4 linked regions of the Mus musculus genome follow. The protein of the gene in region 4 purifies or fractionates together with the protein of the main gene of each other region. This does not show direct contact. Links are inferred from orthologs where the notes say so. Each region holds a gene or a part of one and is shown on either strand. Other genes may lie near its edges. The genes, in order: Psmc1, Stat3, Kpna6 and Ptpn2.

What was found.
Region 1: the proteins of Ptpn2 (region 4) and Psmc1 purify together in Homo sapiens (affinity purification with mass spectrometry; 4 studies listed by BioGRID and IntAct, with this or other methods). This does not show direct contact. The link is inferred for Mus musculus from reciprocal best matches to the Homo sapiens genes PTPN2 and PSMC1.
Region 2: the proteins of Ptpn2 (region 4) and Stat3 purify together in Homo sapiens (affinity purification with western blotting; 7 studies listed by BioGRID). This does not show direct contact. The link is inferred for Mus musculus from reciprocal best matches to the Homo sapiens genes PTPN2 and STAT3.
Region 3: the proteins of Ptpn2 (region 4) and Kpna6 purify together in Homo sapiens (affinity purification with mass spectrometry; 3 studies listed by BioGRID and IntAct, with this or other methods). This does not show direct contact. The link is inferred for Mus musculus from reciprocal best matches to the Homo sapiens genes PTPN2 and KPNA6.

Annotation. Positions count from the first base shown.
Region 1 is NC_000078.6:100,113,202-100,119,604, forward strand, and holds part of Psmc1 (26S proteasome regulatory subunit 4), read left to right. Parts: intron 1-1,636; coding exon 1,637-1,761; intron 1,762-2,218; coding exon 2,219-2,404; intron 2,405-2,585; coding exon 2,586-2,714; intron 2,715-3,497; coding exon 3,498-3,594; intron 3,595-5,871; coding exon 5,872-6,061; intron 6,062-6,403.
Region 2 is NC_000077.6:100,899,911-100,906,313, reverse strand, and holds part of Stat3 (signal transducer and activator of transcription 3), read left to right. Parts: intron 1-385; coding exon 386-481; intron 482-639; coding exon 640-721; intron 722-1,015; coding exon 1,016-1,110; intron 1,111-1,255; coding exon 1,256-1,407; intron 1,408-2,551; coding exon 2,552-2,710; intron 2,711-2,799; coding exon 2,800-2,892; intron 2,893-3,517; coding exon 3,518-3,577; intron 3,578-6,403. UniProt on the Homo sapiens protein: Signal transducer and transcription activator that mediates cellular responses to interleukins, KITLG/SCF, LEP and other growth factors. Once activated, recruits coactivators, such as NCOA1 or MED1, to the promoter region of the target gene.
Region 3 is NC_000070.6:129,644,870-129,650,416, reverse strand, and holds part of Kpna6 (importin subunit alpha-7), read left to right. Parts: intron 1-1,040; coding exon 1,041-1,219; intron 1,220-2,237; coding exon 2,238-2,425; 3' UTR 2,426-5,547. UniProt on the Homo sapiens protein: Functions in nuclear protein import as an adapter protein for nuclear receptor KPNB1. Binds specifically and directly to substrates containing either a simple or bipartite NLS motif.
Region 4 is NC_000084.6:67,676,122-67,679,621, reverse strand, and holds part of Ptpn2 (tyrosine-protein phosphatase non-receptor type 2), read left to right. Parts: intron 1-1,759; coding exon 1,760-1,912; intron 1,913-3,500. UniProt on the Homo sapiens protein: Non-receptor type tyrosine-specific phosphatase that dephosphorylates receptor protein tyrosine kinases including INSR, EGFR, CSF1R, PDGFR.

The sequences.
Region 1 (6,403 bases), on a different chromosome or scaffold from region 4:
GCTCTGCATGTAGCATGGAGTACAAGGGGAGGCAGGGAGTACTGCGGAGACTGAATGAAGCTAGCTCTGGTTATATATAACCCCTTTCCACTTGCTAACTCCGGTGGAGCCCTCTTCTGGGTTGGCATAGAAGTTACATGAGTTTGTCTCATGCTAACCATGAGCCATGAGCCATGGTGCATGCCTGTAATCCCAGCACTCAATCCACTGAGTTCCAGCCAGCCAGGGCTGCACAGAGAGACCTTTCTTAAGAAAGGAAGAAAGAAAGAAAGAAAGAAAGAAAGAAAGAAAGAAAGAAAGAAAGAAAGAAAGAAAGAAAGAAAGAAAGAAAGAAAGAAAGAAGAGAGAGAGAGAGAGAGAGAGAAAGAAAGAAAGAGGGCTGGTGAGATGGCTCAGTGGGTAAGAGCACCCGACTGCTTTTCCGAAGGTCAGGAGTTCAAATCCCAGCAACCACATGGTGGCTCACAACCATCCGTAACAAGATCTGACTCCCTCTTCTGGAGTGTCTGAAGACAGCTACAGTGTACTTACATATAATAAATAAATAAATCTTTAAAAAAAAGAAAGAAAGAAAGAGAGAGAGAGAGAAAGAGAGAAAGAGGGGGAGGGGAGGGAGGGAGAAAGACATCCTATTCACACAGAGAGACCTTTCGAAAGAAAGAAAGAAAGAAAGAAAGAAAGAAAGAAAGAGAGGAAGAGAGAAAGAGGGGGAGGGAGGGAGGGAGAAAGACATCCTATTCACTGTCCCTAAGTAGTTAACCCCGCTGAGGTATTAACATGTAAGTCATTTATTGCTTTTTATTTTTGTCATTATTTTACGGCAGGCACACACATGCTTCGGTGTGCATGTACAGGTCAGAGGACAACTTTTGGGAGTTGGTTCTCTCCTGTCACTGTTCTGAGGATGGAACTTAGATCGAGGCTCGCACAGCGAGTCCCTTACTCTCAGAACCTCTATCCTGATGGCCCTGTTTGTTGTGAGGCAGGGTCTCGGTTTTGCGGTCCAGGCTTCCCTGGGTTAGTGATGCTTCTCTTGCACCAGCACCCCGAGTGCAGGGATTAATGCACCACAGTGGAAATAGCGTGTAAACTACTGATGCAGTCTCAGAGACACTTTCATGCTGTAAAGGGAAGTATCGCTGTATTAACATCTGGGTATGTCTGGACCGAAGTTTATTTTTTATTTTTATTTAAGAATTACTTTATGTATAGGAATGTTTTGCCTGCAAAGCGGGTGGTTTTGAGCAGCCATGTGGGTACTAAGAACTGAACTCAAGTCCTCTGGAAGAGCAGCTAGTGCTCATAACTGCTAAGCCATCTCTTCAGCCGCTTTATCACAGTTATTTCCTTTGTGTGTATGTGGGGTGGGGCCCATGCGCGCTCCTGCACTCAGATACAGTTGTGAGTATGTGGAGGTCAAAGCACAACTTGCAGGACTCAATTCTGTCCTTCCACCACCACGGGGAACCGAGGGATAGAACTCAGCTCTTGTTGGCAGCAAGCTCTTCAACCACTGAGCCATCCTGCCAACCCTGAACTTAAAGTTTTTTAATGGCTTTCTGGTGAACATATATAAATTTTTTTTTTTTTTAGTTTTTAAGTTCCAAATGTCTAAAGCCTTATTTTTTAATTACAGTAACACCTCACACCCAGTGCCGCCTGAAATTACTGAAGCTAGAGAGAATAAAAGACTATCTTCTCATGGAGGAGGAATTCATTAGAAACCAGGAACAGATGAAACCATTAGAAGAAAAGCAAGAGGTGAGTGGAGAAGGTTCTATAGTCTTCTTTACTGAGTGAGTTCTGTTAAGAACAAAAACTGTGATAAGTGAGAGTCATGGGTGTCAACTGTGACACTTCTGACTGGCCAGCTTTTAAAGCCAGGGAGAGGGCGCAGCAGGTAAAAGTACTGACTACACTCTGGCAACCAAGTATGGAAAGGTAAAAAATCCAGATGAGGTGCACATCTGTCATCCTGGCACCCTACAGCAAGACGAGAGTCAGAGACCTGACAACCACCCAGAAGTTCTCTGGATAGCCAGGAGTACACACACACAGCAAGTTATTCTCTGGTCTCTGCACGCTCAGATGCACATCCACAGAAAGTGAGTGAATGAGAAAAGAAAACATTTGCTGCCTTGTCATTCCAGGCAGATACTCTGTAAATGCATCATCTGCCTTACGGGCTCATCTGCTTTTTCTTCTTGGCTATTATTAGGAGGAAAGATCAAAAGTGGATGATCTCAGGGGGACCCCCATGTCTGTAGGAACCTTGGAAGAGATCATTGATGATAATCACGCCATTGTGTCCACATCTGTGGGCTCAGAACACTACGTCAGCATCCTGTCGTTTGTAGACAAGGATCTGCTGGAACCAGGCTGCTCCGTCCTGCTCAACCACAAGGTGAGCCACTGGCCTATAAGGAAGCCCGGTAGGAGTATGTTCTTGGTGTTAGACCTGGCTGCTCGGGCTGGAAGGGGACCACCAAAGCACTCACAGAAATGGGGGAAAGAAACTGGAATTGCTTGCCCTAGACAAATTGACAAGAACTCCCGGTCACACATTAAGACTTGGTCCTTTGTAGGTGCATGCTGTGATAGGGGTGCTAATGGATGACACGGATCCCCTGGTCACAGTGATGAAGGTGGAAAAGGCCCCCCAGGAGACCTACGCAGATATTGGGGGACTGGACAACCAGATCCAAGAAATTAAGGTATGGTGGGGACCGGGTCTGGGTTTCCAGAGTTTTGGTTTCTTATAGTTGTCCTGTTTGGATGCTTTGGAGTTGACTTCCATGTTTGTTTTTCTTTATTGAGCAATTCTAGCTATGGATCTTTATGTGCTCAGTACTTTGAGGAACTGGAACCACACTAAATTGTGTGCCGGTCCTGTAGTCTTTTCACACTTTGCATATTTAATGCTGACTCAGTAGTAGGTGGAAATGTGACCTTCCCCGCTGTGCTGACTTGTGCTGTTGCGTACTTACTCAGCACACATGTGTTAGGGCCTAGGCCAGGTTCCCTGTTCCTGAGTGATGGAGCCTGTGGCTGTGTGCCCACCCTGTCTCTCACCCATAGGGAAGTCAGAACTGCCAAAGGTCTCCTCTGCTGACCTCTCAGCTGGAACTCGGCACAGAGCGTAGAATCCCTAGTGACAGTAGGACCAGCTGGCAGGAAGCCTGTCCAGGTCCTCTTTCTAGTCTACTCCAAACAGAGCAAGTGTTAGCTTCCTTCAGTTTTATTTTGCTCCAGAGTAGCTTAAGTGTTGCTCAAGGCTGACTTCTGGAAAGGAAAGGGAAAGCTGGGCGTGGCTTAGGAAGGGAGTTGCTATGAAAACTCAGTGAGACACCTGCCCTCTTCAGCGTGTCCCACCCCAGTAGAGGTTCAGAACAGTGAGCTTTCTGTTTATCTGTGTGGAAAACAGCATATTTTCATATCAGGCAATGCTAACAACCCCAGTTAAACTTTCCTTTTCACCAAGGCTTTCTTCTCTGTAGGAGTCTGTGGAGCTCCCGCTTACCCATCCTGAGTATTACGAGGAGATGGGGATAAAGCCCCCTAAGGGGGTCATTCTCTACGGTCCGCCAGGAACAGGTACGCCGTGCTGAACATTGTAGGCACTCCACTCCTGTCTCCAGCAGCTTTGGCAAGATAGAAGGTGCCACAGTCGCTTAGCTCAACTCTGGAGCTGGGCTGGGGAGGGAGAGGTAGAACACACTGCTTAGCAGGCACACAGCCATGGGCTGGGTCCAGCAAACCCACACCATCCCCATACACACACAAAGCAAGATCTCAGCCTTGGCTGACCGAGTACAGTGACATCACCTTGAGAGCTCTATATAGTGCTGCGGCTTGTCCCAGCCTCAGAGGCACACATGCGCTCATCTGCAGCACGGCTAAGCCTCAGTCCAGTGTGGAGATGGCGTTCAGTTATTCTGAGGTGTTGGACCAGGTCCGTTTACTGTGCAGTAGTACTAAGTAAATACTGTGGGATGATGATAAGGACACATTTAACATTACAGTACAACGGTTGTCCTAAGCTGCAGAGGCCAGTGCTTGGCAGTTGATGACCCTGCAGATCAGAACAGGCGTGGTCATTTGCTTCAGAGAGCTGATGCTGAGTTCCTCCGACTTATTTTGAGAGCTATTAAGAGACTGAGAAGTAGCTTCCCTGAGGAACCTGGAGCTAGAAGCCACTCTGCTTTACCTCAGTGGAGATTAAAGCCTGGAGAGGCTGGTGATGAGCCCAGGGCCACAGAGCTCTTGGCGTTGAGCTGGTAATGCCTGGAGCTGCAGCACTGTCCTGCCCCACCAGTGTGCATCTCATGAGGTGTGGGCACTGCAGTGCCGGGTGGACGGGCCTGTCAGAGTGGGAGGCTTGTTCAGTGATTCCCTGTGGCACTTGAGGTAACCCAGCTGCTTTCCTTGGCTCCCAGACACTAAGGTCTCATTGTCCTAAAAGGCCCGACCCCGTCTTTACATCCCGAGTTGGTCTCCCAGGAATACTGTTACCTTCTGAGGCTTTCTACCTGCTGTTTGCTGCTGTGTCACAAAGCTTAGCCCTCTGCCATTCCCTAGCTCTCCCTCTGCATCCTGAGCTAACACCAGGCCCTCATTCACTTTTAAAGGGGCGAAGGTCTTAACAACTCTAAAATCCTTGAGCTGAGTACTCTTTGGTGACTGGCCTATGTTAAAGGCTGGTCTCTGGAGGTGGGACGGGCATCAGTGTTGTTCAGAGCTCCCAAGCTGAATTCACTGTACGTGGTTTGTGTGTGTGTGTGCGCGTGCACGCGTCCAAGAAAAATACCAGTGGTAGAGCAGTGTTAGAAACACTACTTGAAGGGCTGGAGAGATGGCTCAGTGGTTAAGAGCACTACCTGGTCTTCCAAAGGTCCTGAGTTCAAATCCCAGCAACCACATGGTGGCTCACAGCCATCTGTAATGGGATCTGTTGCCTTTTCTAATCTGGGTTGGATAAGTCAGATTAATTTTTGTATTTGTTCGTTCCTTCATTAGTTTTGATACAGGTCCTCATGAAGGCCACTCTGGCTTTGAAGTCACCGTCTAGCTCAGGATGCCCTTCAACTTCTAATCCTCCTACCTCCACTTTCCAAATGCTGGATTCTACATGTGTAGCCCCATGTCTGGTTGCATTAAGTTAATTTAATATGCAACTTAGAATGGACCCAAGAAAGCTCCCTTTCAGAAAAAACAGGTCATTGTATTGCTAGTGCAGAGTGGTTCTTTCTATAGGTAAATATGGCGACTGGTTCTCCTAATGCTGTGACCCTTTAATATAGGTGGACCCCTCATCATAAAGTTATTTTTATTGCTACTTCATAACTGTAGTTTTGCTACTGTTATGAATTGTCATGTAAGTATCTGGGATGCAGAATATCTGATATGCGACTCCCAGATGGGTCTCGACTGCTGCTTTGGATGATACTTTGGGCTCAGGGTGTGAAAATAACCAGGTAGGGCTCACAAAATGTCTCAGTGATAATGGTGTCCGTCACAAGCCTGGCAACCTGAGTTTGATCTTCAGACCCCAATGAAGGTGGAGGAAGGGAGGTGCTTCTGCCAGGTTGTCTTCTGTCCTCCACAGGTGCTCCGCGGCTCATGCCCCCATTAAATAGGCACAAAACAAATATATATTATGATTTTTATGAGAAAAAAATAGCCAGGTAAAGGTATTGCTGACATCATCATGATGACTTTTAGAAGAGCTCAGAGTATGTTGTTAGGTTGGGAGAGCAGAGGAGCAGATAGCTGCGGTGTGTTGTCATTGTTAGTGTCCATCCACTGGGATGGGGCGCTCCTAACAGCAGTTACATGGTTTTCTTCTTATCGTATTCTTTTTACCCAAAATAGGTAAAACTCTATTGGCCAAAGCAGTAGCGAACCAGACTTCAGCCACTTTCTTGCGAGTGGTTGGCTCAGAGCTTATCCAGAAGTACCTAGGTGACGGGCCCAAACTTGTCCGGGAGCTCTTCCGGGTCGCTGAGGAGCATGCGCCGTCCATCGTGTTCATTGATGAGATCGACGCCATTGGGACCAAAAGGTAGACTCACCCTGAACTGTCGTGGAGATAAACAGTATTGGCCCTCCCTGTGCAGCAAGCCCTTGCTGGGCATGGCCCTCTGGATACTTCACTCTGCCCTCCAAGGGGCCTTAAACACCTACCCAGGCAGTGTGTGGAACCCAGTTGTGTCCGAGCTTGCATGGAGCCAGTACCATGCAGACGCTGCAGACTCACTGTACTCATGGTAGTCTTTGCCCTGCAGCTAAAAGGTTGAACCAAACAGGGAGACAAAAAATGGGCCTTTAGGCAGAGTTGCTGTGCAGCGATGTGGTTCAAAAGTGTGTCTGTCTGTCTGTCCCGCTGAAAACGAAACAGCACAAT
Region 2 (6,403 bases), on a different chromosome or scaffold from region 4:
ACACTTTGTTGTCATCAGTTCTTAATTTATTTATTAATATTCTCTGAGCACTGGGATCAAGCCTGGGCTTCACTCATTTAGGCAGGATCTCCAGTACTGAGCTGTACCCCAGCTCTTTCTAGATTTTTTTTTTTTTTTTTGACAGTTTACCTTTAGGCTGCTTGAAGGATGAGGCATCTTAGTTCAACATGTGGGCTCCTGGTTTAATGTGGAGAATGGGTTTGCAGTGTTTCCTGTTGATAAAAAGCCAGTGGCACAGAGAGAACAGTGCAAGCACCCTCCCAGCACCCTCCCCTTTGGATGGGATGGAGCTCAGACGAGAGGGTTCCACAAATCCATGTGTGTGCTAATCTTAGTTATTTATTATTTATTTATTTATTGGCAGCAAGGGGGCCAGGCCAACCACCCAACAGCCGCCGTAGTGACAGAGAAGCAGCAGATGTTGGAGCAGCATCTTCAGGATGTCCGGAAGCGAGTGCAGGTAATCGGGCCTCACCCAGGGAGCCGCGCTGTGCTGTGCGGCTGCAGAGTGTGGTCCTGCGTGCACGCTTTCATTATCTTCAAAACTTTCTTTTCCCTTTTTCCCAAAGGTAACCTGTGTTTTACTTCTGTTTTTGGTTGGTTTGTTTGTTTAAACAGGATCTAGAACAGAAAATGAAGGTGGTGGAGAACCTCCAGGACGACTTTGATTTCAACTACAAAACCCTCAAGAGCCAAGGAGGCAAGCGAGCTGTGGGGACGGGGCAGTCTGTGCAAGGCTACGCCGTGTCACTGAGTCTCAGGGCCTGCCTTCCATGGTAGGAGGAGGAGCTGCTGGCCCTTCACGGGACAATTTTTGCATTGTTTGTTTTTGAGATGGGATTTGACCATGTAGCTCTGGCTGACCGTGAGCCTACAACCATCTTACTTCAGCTCTCTGAGTAGCCGGGACTGCAGGCGCACAGATGGTGTAGAGCCTTGTTAAGAAGGCTGTGGTGAGTCCCTCTGCTCAAGGAGTCTTTCCTCCTTCCCTTAGACATGCAGGATCTGAATGGAAACAACCAGTCTGTGACCAGACAGAAGATGCAGCAGCTGGAACAGATGCTCACAGCCCTGGACCAGATGCGGAGAGTAAGCGATCTGGATGCTTCCTGAGCATCGCACGCCTAGCGTGGAAGACAGTTTCTGATGGCTTCTTTCTCTAGAACTGACTAGAGACTGCGGTTAGACATGGGCTGGGGTAATGTGTTCTGACTTGGTTTTGGTTTCCAAACAGAGCATTGTGAGTGAGCTGGCGGGGCTCTTGTCAGCAATGGAGTACGTGCAGAAGACACTGACTGATGAAGAGCTGGCTGACTGGAAGAGGCGGCAGCAGATCGCGTGCATCGGAGGCCCTCCCAACATCTGCCTGGACCGTCTGGAAAACTGGTAAGAGTTGGAAGAAAGGCTTCTTTTTCTTTAGTCACGGGCCTGCAAGGGGGGGGGGGGGGGGCGGGGCGGAGCGGGGCGGAGGCGGGGCATGCTGCTCCCTCGCCATGCTTTTGCTTTTGCTTTTGCTTTTGCTTTTTCATGCTGGGGTGGATGTGTGGTAGACAAGTGTGCCAGAGCCACTGGACTACACTCCTAGTGCTGGACACTATTGCTAAGATGGCACCTTTTTTTTTCTTTGAGAAAGAATCTCACTGAGCTGCATAGGCTGGCCCTCATACCCACTCCATAGCCCAGGCTGGCCCTCATACCCACTCCATAGCCCAGGCTGGCCCTCATACCTACTCTATAGCCCAGGCTGACCTTGAATTTGCAATCCTCCTGCTTCATCTTCCCAAATGGAATTATCTGGGATTATAGGCATGCATCACTCTGCCTGCCTTAAGGTGGCCTTTTTTACACAGTCAAGTTTAGTCCAAGAATTAAAACCATTACCTAATTTTAACTTTTTTGTTTTTTTCTGAGACAGAGTTTCTCTATTTAGCCTTAGCTGTCCTTGAACTTGCTCTGTAGACTACACTGGCTCAAACTCATAGAGGTCTGCCTGCCTCTGCTTCCCAAGTACTGAGATTAAAGACATGCACCACCATTGCCCAACCAACAAATTTTTAATTAAAAAGAATAAATTAATAAAGCTTAGATCACTAATTTAAGATATTTAAATAATACTTTCAGTTGTATTTAACACTAAATTCTCCATTTTAGTTATTTTAATAATCTAAAACAATATATGTTATTTGCAAAGGGGGGAAATAACTGAATATATATAAAACTAATAAAATGAAATAAAAAAAATGAAAATCTAGTCTTTGAGTAGTACCAGCAAGTCACCAGACTTTGTGATAGTCATTTTGTAGGCATCTGTCGTGATTAAACATGTGATTTCATGACTATACATGTGATGTCATAACTATACATGTGAAGCTAGAAATCGAGTTGTCCGTCTCCTTCCTCCCTTCCTTCCTTCCTTCCTTCCTTTGTTGTGGTGGGATGGATGCCTCAGGGTCCCTTTGCTTCAGTCTCCTGAGTGCTGGGGTCACCACTAGGGGACAGAGGTGACTGGAACTTCCTTCCATTATGGCAGGATAACTTCATTAGCAGAATCTCAACTTCAGACCCGCCAACAAATTAAGAAACTGGAGGAGCTGCAGCAGAAAGTGTCCTACAAGGGCGACCCTATCGTGCAGCACCGGCCCATGCTGGAGGAGAGGATCGTGGAGCTGTTCAGAAACTTAATGAAGAGGTAACTTGTAAGAGATGACGTTCCGAAGGGAGGAACCGGCAGAAGACTGGTCACCACAGCGTCTGAGATGCCATCCTTTTCCCTTCCAGTGCCTTCGTGGTGGAGCGGCAGCCCTGCATGCCCATGCACCCGGACCGGCCCTTAGTCATCAAGACTGGTGTCCAGTTTACCACGAAAGTCAGGTGGGCCTGTCCTTACACTTTGGGTGGAGTTTTGATTGATGTCCAGTCCTCTTCCCTGAGGATTTTAAGGGAAGGAAGGTTCTGTGGTGCCATAGCTGAGGGGCCCCATTGGGTGAGAGATGAAGCCCACTCCTCACCTGGCTCAGAACACGTGCAGTATTTCTCATTGAATGCTTTTTATTGCCTTCCCGTGAGAAGTCTCTTACAACTTGCTTCACATGCTTAGGCATCTCAGTACTTTCTAGCTGAAGGGTTAGTGTTCACTTTTAATGTCAGAGATGACTCTGCGGAAGTAGAATTTGGGTTTGTAAAAATAATATATATATATATATATATATATATGCGTGCGTGCGTGTGTGTGTGTGTGTGTGTGTGTGTGTGTGTGTATTTTTCATCTAGACAGGTCTTTGTAGCCCTGGCTGGCCTGGAACACTCTCTGTAAACTAGGCTGGCTTGAACCCAGAGATTCACCTCCCTTTGCCTCCCAAGTGCTGGGATTAAAGGCATGCACCACCATGCTCAGCAATATTTTTACATCTTAGGAATTGAAGTATTAGGGGGTTTATATTTTAACGAGATCAAGGTAGGGAGCCTACTAACTTTCCTTGACTATATTTTTTAATAGGTTGCTGGTCAAATTTCCTGAGTTGAATTATCAGCTTAAAATTAAAGTGTGCATTGATAAGTAAGTATTCTTTATGTGTGTGTGTGTGTAAGTGTATAATTTTTATTATTTAAAAGCAACTGTTAAATTCATGCTTTGCTCATATTCTTCCCTTCTCCCAAGTACATTCAGATCTCCTCCTCCTGTACTCACCCAAGTTTCTCAAAAAAACTAAACAACCAAAACCCCAATACAACAAAATCCCCAAAAGACTGAGAACAAAATACAACACCCAAAAAGAAAAAAGATGGGACTAAAATTGTGATTAAATAAGAGCATGCACAACAAACTATTTGTTGGTCAACTGTCCTGCTCACGAGACCCGCACTGAGTGGTTGACAAAGCCAGTGCTGCTCCCAGCAGCTCCATTGCTAATCTTTCACCCTAGTGGTGGGTTTACATTCATTCATTCATTCATTCATTTTTTTTAATGTAACAAAATAAAATATAACAAAGCAAAACAAAGGCTATGACATCCAAGTTGGACGAGACAAACCAACAGGAGGAAAAGAACCCAAGAGAAGGCACAGGAGTCGGAGTCCCACTCGTTTGCACCCTGGGAATCCCATGAGAACACTACATGGGAAGCCACAATATTAGCACAGAGGCCCTGGTGCAGGCCCCTGCAGGCCCAGGGCATGCTGCTCCAGTCTCTGCGAGTTCATATGAGCTTTGCTCGTGGTGATTCAGAGGGCCTTGTGGTTTTGGTGACCTCTAACCCCTCTGGTTCTTAATGTTTTTTCTGCTGCTTCTTCCTTGGTATTCCCTGAGCTCTGAGGGGAGGGATTTGCTGGAGACATCCCATTTAGGGAATGAGTGTTTCAAGGTCTTTCTCTGCATGATGTCTGGCTGTGGGTCTCTATATTTCTTCCCATCTTTGGACAGGAGGACTCTTCTCTGATGATGGCTGAGCAAGGCACTGATATCTGAGTCTAGCAGAATGTCACCTGGAGTCATTTTATTGTTTTTTTTTCCTTTCTCTTTTTTAGATCAGTATTATTTAGTTTTTCCCTAGGTCCTTGGGCTATCTAGTCTCTGGTTCTTGGCCACCCAAGCCTTGTTGGGTATGAGTTTCATCTTGTATAGTGAGCCTTAAGACTCTTGTTGGTTGGTTACTTCCACAGGTTTGTGCCACCATTGCCCTAGCATATCCTGCAGGCAGTACACTATTACAGATAGAGGTTTGAGGCTGGCTTGCTGTTCACACTTCTCTTTTGATAGCATGCAGAGTACCTTCCTATAACAAAGACTCTGGCATACAGTGGGGGGCTCTATGGAGGCACCAGCTTCACGTGCCCATGTTCAGTGAGTTGTGTAGGTGTTATCCTCAACAGTGGGGCCTTGCTGTCAGTTGTGGAAAGCAACCGATGGTCTTGATAACAGCGTGGATTGTTTGAGGATTCCCTTTGGCCAACAATTCAATTAGACTTAACCCTAACCCAGTACTGGAAGCTTTATTTGGTGGCAAGAGATCGCCAGTTGGGACCCCAACTCTCCCCCATTACTTGGCGATTGAATCTAGATCACCTTCACATATGTGAATGTTTTAGGAGGTTCCTACTGTACGAGATGTCGATACTACTCCACGGATGCTCCATAAGTGTTGCCGTCTCCCATTGTTCCCTCCCACCACCAGCTCTCCTCTCCCCTCGGCTTCCCCATTTGCTCCTCCAAGTTCAGACCTCGTCTATCCAGAATCCCTCATCTATCCAGAATCCCTCATCTATCCAGAATCCCTCATCTATCCAGAACCCCTTCTATTTCTTTTTTCCTAATTAGATCTATTTGTTCTCTGTAGTTCCTTAGTCTGTATTCACCCTCTGTGGTTCTTAAGGATTGCAGCTTGGTTATCATTGACTTAATGGCTAATATCCATACATAAGTGAGTACACACCACATTTGTCTTTCTGGGTCTAGGTTACCTCACTCAGGAAGATTTTTTTTTTCCTAGTTCCATCTATTTGCCTGCAAGTTTCTTTTTTTTTTTTTTAATGGCTGAGTAATACTCCGTATGTAAATGTACCACATTTTCTTTATTCATTCTTCTGTTGAGGGACATCTAGGTTGTTTCCAGCTTCTGGTTAGTATGGAGAGAACAGCAGTGAACGTGGTTGAGCAAGTGTCTGTGGTAGGATGAAGCATCCTTTGGGTATGTGCCCAAGAGTGGTCTAACTGGATCTTGAGGTAGATGGATTCCCGTCTTCCTGAGGAGCGGCCATACTGATTTCCATAGTTGCTGCATGAGCTTGCATTCCCACCAGCAATATGTGATGGTGGCCCTTACTCCACATCCTCGACAGCATGAGCTGTCACTTGTGTTGATCTTAACTATCCTGTTAGGCATATGATAGACTCTCACAGCAGTTTGATTTGCATTCCCTGATCCTAAGGATGTTGGACATTTCTCTGTTTCTCAGCCACTTGGGTTTCCTCTATTAAGAATTTTCTGTTTAGATCTGTACCCCATTTCTAACTGGTCTGTATTTTCTTGATATTTATTTTCTTAAAATTCTTTTCGGGCATTTGTCCTCTATTGGATATGTAGTTGGTTTAAAAGAAAAATCCCGTTCTGTAGGCTACCAATCCGTATTCTTAAGCCTAACTCTTGTTTTCAAATGAGGGATGGAGAAGCAAGAACTTGGACAGACATTTGACTTTAGAGATGTCTCCATTCAGGGATCTTCTTTTTGTGAACAGCTGTGTTCAAAACCCTTGCAAACCCTGCCCGGTTTGCCTGAAGCATTGAAAAGAAAAGTTTGAGTGTGTGCAGCTCAGTATTGCAGGCTCACCTAGCACGCACGCATGCACGAGGCCCGGGTTCAACCCCCATACTGAAAAATAAACGTG
Region 3 (5,547 bases), on a different chromosome or scaffold from region 4:
ACCCAGCTAAGTCGTGGGGATTTTTTTTTTTTTGGTTTTTCAAGACAGGGTTTCTCTGTATAGCCCTGGCTGTCCTGGAACTCACTCTGTAGACCAGGCTGGCCTCGAACTCAGAAATCTGCCTGCCTCTGCCTCCCAAGTGCTGGGATTAAAGGCGTGCGCACCCACGCCCGGCATGTCTTGGGGATTTTTGTTTGTGTTTTGTTTTGATGAGATTAGGGCTCTCTGTGTATACTAAGCTCTCTTTGAGTTTGTGGTCCTCTTGCTTTAGCCTCTCGGGGGCTGACAACATGTCTCAGCCTCCAGTTTGTATTTATGCCCCTTTATTCTGGTGTTCATCATCTGAACATTAGGAGGAACCACGCAAGTTGGATGCGTCTTTCCCCTTATTATAACCTACGAAAGGGAATAAAGTCTGTACATACTGATGTCTCAGGAGAAAGGAAGAGCTATTGACTTAAACATTAGAAAGAAAACATAAGATGAACATGATGGCGTGTGTACCACTGCAGTCTGAGAACAAAGTCAGCCAACCATGTAGTGAATCCCAAGCAAGCTAGGGCTACAAAGAGAAATCATGTTTAAAAGGGTGCCAGAGTAGGGAGGAGGAGTAAATACAGCATTATATGTAGGCCTTTTTAGATAAAAATATATAAAGGTCCAGGAGTCAGAAATCTGAAGATCTTTGAGCACAATTTAATAACCTCAGTATGGAATATTCTGAGTAGAGCTACAGAGGAAGGGTCCAGATGACAGACAGTCTGTACCTCCATACTGTACAAGTTGTACTCAGGACAAATAGGAACCTGAGGAACTTCTTAACGTGTGTAGGGTAATAACGTTGTAGCCAAGGGGACAATAGGACTCCGTGTTCATTAGGGAATAGGTCAGTGCAGAGTTAAGAAGGTGGCTTAGGTGGGCAACAGGAAGAGTGCCTTGTTGGGAAAATTGGTGTGTGAGGGAGACGCACAGGTCAAAGCACCTGGTGCACTTTATGTGTTCTGCATTCATGTAGCGCGCATGTCCTCTCTGGTCCCCAGGTACCTGGTATCACTGGGCTGCATTAAGCCCCTGTGTGACTTGCTGACTGTAATGGATTCAAAAATTGTGCAAGTGGCCCTCAATGGACTAGAGAACATTCTTCGGCTTGGAGAGCAAGAAAGCAAGCGTAGTGGCTCAGGGGTCAATCCCTACTGTGGCCTCATCGAGGAAGCCTATGGTAGGTCCTCTCCCTGACCTCACCTATGTCTGTTAATGGGGAAGATGTTGGAGCACATTCAATTGTTCTGTGAAACTTGGGAATACATTTATCCATTCATTTGTGTGCATATGCATGTATGAGTGTGGGTGTACATGATATGGCACATGTGGGATGAAGGTCAGAGGACAACCTGAAGAAGTCAGTTCTCTCCCTTCACCATGTTGGTTCCTAGGATTGAACCCAGGTTGTCAGACTTGGCAGAAATCACCTTAACCTGCTGAGTCATCTCACCAGCCCTTGAGTCTCTGCTTCTAAAACCAGTGATGAGTTCCTGTTGCAGCCAAGCTAGTCCAAGCACAGGGTTTCAGACTTTCCCTTGGGAGTAGCTGACTCGTACTGACCAGCTGGGTAGATAGAAGTAATGGTTATTATCACTATCAAGTTTCCCTGTCCCACCATCTCCTCCTCCCTCTGAGGAGCCATAGGTCAGTGCTGTTCTCATAGACACCACCTACCTCAAATGTATGCAAGGAGGAACAGGGTAAAATTTGGTTCTACTACCAGGAGCTAGAAGCTGCATTCCAACAGTCTCTCCTGGAAAACCCTGATTGCCTTAACCAACCCATCTCAGATGATTAGCTCAGATGTTAATTAGATGTTAACTAGCTCACCATGATTAGCTCAGAGTTAGCTTGCAACAGAATTTGGTCTCAACCCTCTAGTCAATCACATTGTATATGTGTGTGCAGACCAGAGGTCAGTCTGAGCTATCACTCCTCAGAGTAATCTAGGTTAACAAGCCAACCAGAAAACAAACCCCAGCTGGTTTGTCCCGACTGTATCCTCTTCCCACAACCCCTGCTAGGGTTACAGGCCCCGGCCACCATTCCTGGCCTTGCATCCTGGGGAGTGAACTCAGGTTTTCAGGGCAAGCACTTTACACAAGCCAGGGGTGGATATGTTCCCACTGCTTTTGGTTGGGAACTTGTACTTCAGGAAAGGAGAGGTACAGACCTGTTTTCTTCTTACACCGTAGGCTTGGATAAAATTGAGTTTCTCCAGAGCCACGAGAACCAGGAAATCTACCAGAAGGCCTTTGACCTCATTGAGCACTACTTTGGTGTAGAGGATGACGACAGCAGCCTGGCTCCTCAGGTGGATGAGACGCAACAGCAGTTCATCTTCCAGCAGCCTGAGGCCCCCATGGAGGGCTTCCAGCTATAATGTCTGCCTCCGGGGAGGGGAGGGCACGGGAAGCACCAGCAGCCAGCAGAGAGAGGAGCAGCCTTCTGGTGGGCAGGAGAGCAGCCACCCCACCAGCAGCCCCGCACACCTGCTGCCCCGAGACTGTGCTCTCGACCTGTTCATCCCCTTCCCTGGAGGGAGCAAGCGCCCTCTGGACAGACAGAACCATCTGAGGCTCACATTGGGTTTTGAGACAAGAAGGGGACGTGTGGGTTTCTCTTCCTTACACTATTTTGGCTGCACATGTCTTTAACCCAGGAGCCCAGGGGTAGACAAAGGAGGACTGAGGTAATCAATTTGCACCTTTAAAATTTTTTTCTTTTATTTTCTTTAGTGGTGACTTCCTTCCCAATTATCTTTCTTCATCCATCCCAGTCCTCTGCCCTGACGTGTGTAACTCTTGGGTACTTGAGCAGATGGAATATTCCAGAGGTGGGAGGTGGGAGGGGAGGGGAGAAGTCCCAAACAAAGTGTTCTTGCTCTGACCCATATTAATCTTGTATGCTTGGATTATTTAATTTTTTCTTTTGCACATTTTTCTTGTATTAAGGTTGTTCTTCCCAAAAAGCTGGATTTAGTAACCCAGCCACCAGCATCGTCTGGAAATAGAGGCTAATGGGGAGGCCCCCATGAGACAAAGATCCCTCCCTCCCTCTAACCCTATGCCTAAGACCTCTTTAGTTTGGGAGGATCCCCCTCACTCTCCTGGAGCAAGTATACCAGTGGAGTGGAAGGGAGGGGCACAGGCCTTTAGACAGGGCTTCTCCTGTGTAGCTACTGACCCTGTTTCCTACCCACCTCCTAAATGGTGCGACCCAACTTCATTTGTTTACTTGAAAATTCACCTCAGAGTTGAATGAACCTCTGAGGTGGCTGTGTTTTCTCCTGAGCTTGAGATGGGGGGCTGTGGTCCTTCCTTCTCCTGAGGAGAAAGTCCTTGCTCTGATGACCCCTAAGTTGCAGAGGAGGTTGGAGTTAGTGTCGTGTATCGGGATAGTCATGAATCCCTGCCTTTGGCCTTTCTTCTTCCTTCTGCCATAGCTGGATCATGTATATTTCACTTCCAAAGGAGAGAATGGCAAAAAGTTCTGTTGTTTTTTTAATAGTCTGTATTTTAAGTAGGTCAGTCTTAATTGGTTTTAGGAGGACAAACTGGATGTGAGTGGGATACTGTGAGGAAGACCAGAAAGACGAACAAGTTTCTGCTCACAGGGCTGAACTCAGTCCTTATTTTCTCTGCTTGTATTCTGGGCCACCACTTGGGACCAACTCTCACTTCTGGAACCTTTATGAAGTAAATCAGCTGGGTCTGATTGTTCCCAGCCTGAAGGGAGCAAGGCCTGATGGAGTCTGCTGCTCTCTCTGTTCCTTGCTCCCAAGCAAAAAGCATCCTGCCTTCTCTAACTCACTGTTACCCACAATGAACCCTGTTGGCATCTCCCTTCTAAAGATCCTTGTACCTAGCTTGCATTTCCCTTTCTCCCTCTTTCCCCCTCCCACCTCTCTCCCCCCTCCTCCTCTCTTCCCTCCCTCTCTCTCCCCCTCCCTCTCTCCCTCCCTCCTTCTTGAATAAAGACAGTTCAGTACCTCAGAGGCTGACCTGTTTTCAGGGGTTACACAGTACACTAAAACCAAGCTCTGGGAGCTGGGTACAGTGTCAGCTGGGCAGACCACCTGTGGAGGTGGCAGCACAGTGCCCTGCTGTGGTGATCCCCCACACCCTTAGCCGCTCTCTAGAACAGCACTGTTCCTCCTGTTCCAGCAGATCTCTCTGTGCCCCACATTTGCAGATCTGAAGTTGAGGTTCTTGCTGCTGGCCTCTGCCTTTCCGTCTGCCGTCTCTCCTTTAGTTTTGAGTTCCTGCTCCAGATTCCTCTTCAGGGCAGGCAGTTAATACTGAAAAGTTCAACCAACATTGGACCACGCTGGCGAGTGCCTTCCGGGAAGGCAAGGTGCTGGCCCTTTTGTTTTTAACCTGACTGAAACTGCTCCTAGTTCAAAGAAAAGTCCTCTATGAAGCCATCATCGTCCTTATCTGAAGAGTAGACCCCTGAACCTCTCAAGTGACAGTTAGGACCCTGGCCCTGGAGCCAGATCCTCAGCATGAGACACAAATGTCCTGCTTTCCTCTGCCCGTTTTCCATTATCTCTGGCTTCAGAGCAGATCCTGTGCCACATGGAAGAGGTTGGTTATCTATCTAGCTGCTCTACTCTAGGTGTCCCTCACAGTCGGCTCCTGGCCGACTGACTTCAGTTTCCAGCCCTCCCCAGTGATCATGGCCCTGGATGTTGGTTGTAGCCTTTTGGTATTACTGTATGAGTTCCAGCTTGCTTGGTACCGTTGTTACCTGGGTCTGTGCACACAAGTGCTTCCGAGGAGCAGGTATTGGTAGCCTGGTTTGGAAGACCTTTTGGTGTCCCCTTTACCCGGGACCTTGTATCTACCACTTCCCCTTTCTGCTGCCCCTGGGAGTCATCCCCAGTAGCCTATGTTCTGAAGCTAACTGTGGGCTAGAGCTGCAGTGGGATTTTAGCTGAGGGAGAGGAAAAGACGGTGCTTCTGCGTGGAGTTTCTTTCTTTGAAACCAAGCCGGTACAAAGACACACTTCCCACACAGAGGAAGTGTGTTTCTGTCTGCCTGCAGAGCTAGCAGCTCACAGTTCTACACGTCCTGGAGGCCTCTGCACTCTTTATTCAGACCCCAGCTCTTCTCTTCCAGGCTCACTCATTTTGGTATCCATCCTCTTGGGTATTTTTCAGGCTTAGATTCTAACTTCTCAAAGGAAAAAAACCCAAACTTCTCCAGGTCCCTGCAGATCCAGGACGGAGACAGGATAGTTAGTGACAAGCTTCCCTAGCAGGCTGGGGAAGTGTGCAAGGCTAGGTGCACTGAACTATAGATTCTGAGCAGTGGCAGCTTCAAGCCGCACTTCCCTGAGAGGTGGTAAGAGACAGGCTTCCTGGCACATTCTAGACCAGTTTTGTCCAGTATATTTTTTTTTTGTTTTATCTTTTGTATTCTTTTGTTAAGCCAACAAACTGAGAATTTGCCCCTGTAAGGATCCATGTGGTAGATACTAGCTGCTCTTTGGCCAAAGGC
Region 4 (3,500 bases):
ATGATATTTTCTGTCCTGGTTAACGTCAGCTAACAACTTGACACAGCCCAGAGTCATCTGAGAGGAGTGCCTCAATTAAAGAAAGACTTTTTAAGATCAGATTGGTGTTATTTGTAGGGAACTAATTGATACAGGACAGCCCAGCCCACTGTGAGATTATCTGTAGAGAGAATGTCTTGTATATTTTATGGATACACCACCCATCAATTAAAAAGCCTATGGCTTAGGCAGGAAGTAGGAGGTGGGACATCGGGGAGGCAGAAAGAGTTCTGGGATAGAGCCAGGCACGGGAGGATTTGCCCAGGAAGATGTGAAGAGATGGATGTGGGGTACCTGAACACAGGTAACCAGCCGCGTGTCAGAATGTAAATTAAAATAAATGGGTTATGGGCTGGAGAGGTGGCTCAGCGGGTAAGAGCACTGACTGCTCTTTCGAAGGTCCTGAGTTTAAATCCCAGAAACCACATGGTGGCTCACAACCAGCCATAATGAGATCTGATGCCCTCTTCTGGTGTATCTGAAGACAGCTACTTTATTGTTATTATTATTGTTGTTGTTGTTGTTATTAGATATAATAAAAAATAAATCTTTGGGACGGAGCGAGCAGAGGTTCTGAATTCAATTCCCAGCAACCACATGATGTTTCATAACCATCTGTACAGCTACAGTGTGCTCACATACATTAAATAAATAATTTTTTTTTTTTTTTTTTTTTTTTTTTTGGTTTTTCGAGACAGAGTTTCTCTGTGTAGCCCTGGCTATCCTGGAACTCACTTTGTAGACCAGGCTGGCCTTGAACTCAGAAATCTGCCTGCCTCTGCCCCCTAAGTGCTGGGATTAAAGGCATGTGCCACCATGCCTGGCAATAAATAAATCTTTAAAAAAATAAATAAATTATTATGCTTAAACAAACCCTAATGGGCTACTTTAACATTTTGCCTAGACAAGTTATAGTTTCAATCAAAACTTGAATTGTTAGAGCTGAGAGGTGGCTCAGTGATGAAGGACAGTTGCTGCTCTTTAGAAAACTAATGTTCGGTTCTAGCACCCACAGTGGGTGACTCACAGCCCTCTCCAGCTCCAGGGATCACATGCTGTCTTCTGGCCGCTGTGTGCATCTCTACACACTTGGCATGCACACATACACATGCACTCACAAATCTTTAAAAAACAAAAAACTCATTTACTAATAAAATTAACCTTTTGCTTAAAGGCAGTAGATTCTGTTAATGATCAATATTAAAACTGGGTTATGAGAACCGGCGGTCTTTGGCAGAGTGTTTGCCTAGCATTTAAGGGTTCATGAGTTTCAAACTGCATTGGATGTTCATACCTGCTCTCTACCAACTGTGCCTTGCTCATCCTTCCTTCTCTTCAGTTTATGGTTTGTTTCTAAAACCAGATCAGTAGTCCAGAGCTCAGAGGTAATTTTGTAGGTCAAGGCTTTCCTATTTCCTGCCATCTTTTAAGTGTCTGCTGTACATCCACAAAGCATGTCTTTGTCCAGATTTGAGATGGGGAAGGGCACTGAGCAGCAAACTTTATCTCTGACAAAACCATTTTTTAAAACTATATAAATAATCCTAATCATATCTGGGTGTCTGTGTGCATATTTCTCACCCCCCCCCCCATGTGTGTGTGTTAAATTATCCTTCTTTTAAGAAGGAACCTGTTCACAGCTAAGGTCTGAGCAGTGAGTGGCCTTATATTGCTTTTTTTTTTTTTCAACTCAAACAACTTGGTTTTACCTTTCTTGCAGATGGAAAAAGGAGAGGATGTTAATGTGAAACAATTATTACTGAATATGAGAAAGTATCGAATGGGACTTATTCAGACACCGGACCAACTCAGATTCTCCTACATGGCCATAATAGAAGGAGCAAAGTACACAAAAGGAGATTCAAATATACAGGTAAACTCAGTATCATTAGTGTCAAATAACCATGTTCCATCTAAATCCTCAGCCTTCCCCTACTTCATTTGGTAGATCCAGCTGACTGTCTAGAATTCATAAAACTTTCCACAGTTCAAGAGGCAAAGATGAAAGCTAGTCACCAAGAGTTCAAGACCAGCCTGGTCTATACAGTGAGATCCTGACTTAATTTTTTTTTTTCTTCAAGATTTATTTATTATTATATCTAAGTACACTGTAGTTGTCTTCAGATGCACCAGAAGAGGGCGTCAGATCTCATTACTAATGGTTGTGAGCCACCATGTGGTTGCTGGGATTTGAACTCAGGACCTTTGGAAGAGCAGTCGGTGCTCTTAACCACTGAGCCATCTCTCCAGCCCCCAATTTTTTTTTTTATATGTATATAAGACACATATATACATATATACTTGTTTCCTCAGTGGAAACAAGATTCAATTAAAATAATTTTTTTCATATGAGAAGATTTCAGCATTTAATTATTGAAAGAAAAAAAAACCCAGAAAACATAAGTACTTTTATCTTAGTAAAAACTTACTGTAGAGGCCTGAGGAGATGGCTAAGTGGTCACAGGTTACAAGCACTTACTGCTCTTCCAGAGCACCCAAGTGTGTTTTTAAGAACTCATGTCGGGCAGCTCCAGGGGATCCAGCATCTCTGGCCTCTCATGGCACTTACAGTCATATGCACATACCTAAATGCACACACACAGAACTAAAAATGAAGGAAATAGCCGGGTGTGGTGGTGCACGCCTTTAATCCCAGCACTTGGGAGGCAGAGGCAGGCGGATTTCTGAGTTCGAGGCCAGCCTGGTCTACAAAGTGAGTTCCAGGACAACCAAGGCTATACAGAGAAACCCTGTCTCGGGGGGGAAAAAAAAGGTGGAAATAAAAATTTTAAACCCTTCATGTGGGAGTAAAGACTATTTCTATATAGGTACTTTATAGCTGAATAACTTCAGTTCTTACTACAGACATAAAGTGCTAGGAGTAAACTTTACAAACTTTACATGTCTGATGGTGACATTCTCAGGTGGTGTCTTTTTTTTTTTTTTGGTTTTTTGAGACAGGGTTTCTCTGTGTAGCCCTGGCTGACCTGGAACTCACTCTGTAGACCAGGCTGGCCTGAACTCAGAAATTCACCTGCCTCTGCCTCCCCAGTGCTGGGATTAAAGGCGTGCGCCACCACACCCAGCTCTCAGGTGGTTTTTATTGTATATTTATAGACCGTAAGCTCAAAGAGTATCAGAACTTAGTTTCATGTGATAAGGAAAAGTGTAAGGTAGAAAGAGAAATAACAGTATATCCTTCCCTGCATCGTCTGCATAATAAAGACATACCTAGATCGAAACCAACAATCTTAATCCACTACTCTTTGACTATCTATTTATAAATATCTGCTTTAAAATAGAATATATCTTTTAGGGGGCTAGAGAGATGGCTCAGCAGTTAAGAGCATTGACTGCTCTTCCTAAGGTCTTGAGTTCAAATCACAGTAATCACATTGTGGCTCACAACCATCCGTAATGAGATCTGATGGCCTCTTCTGATGTGTCTGAGGACAGCTACA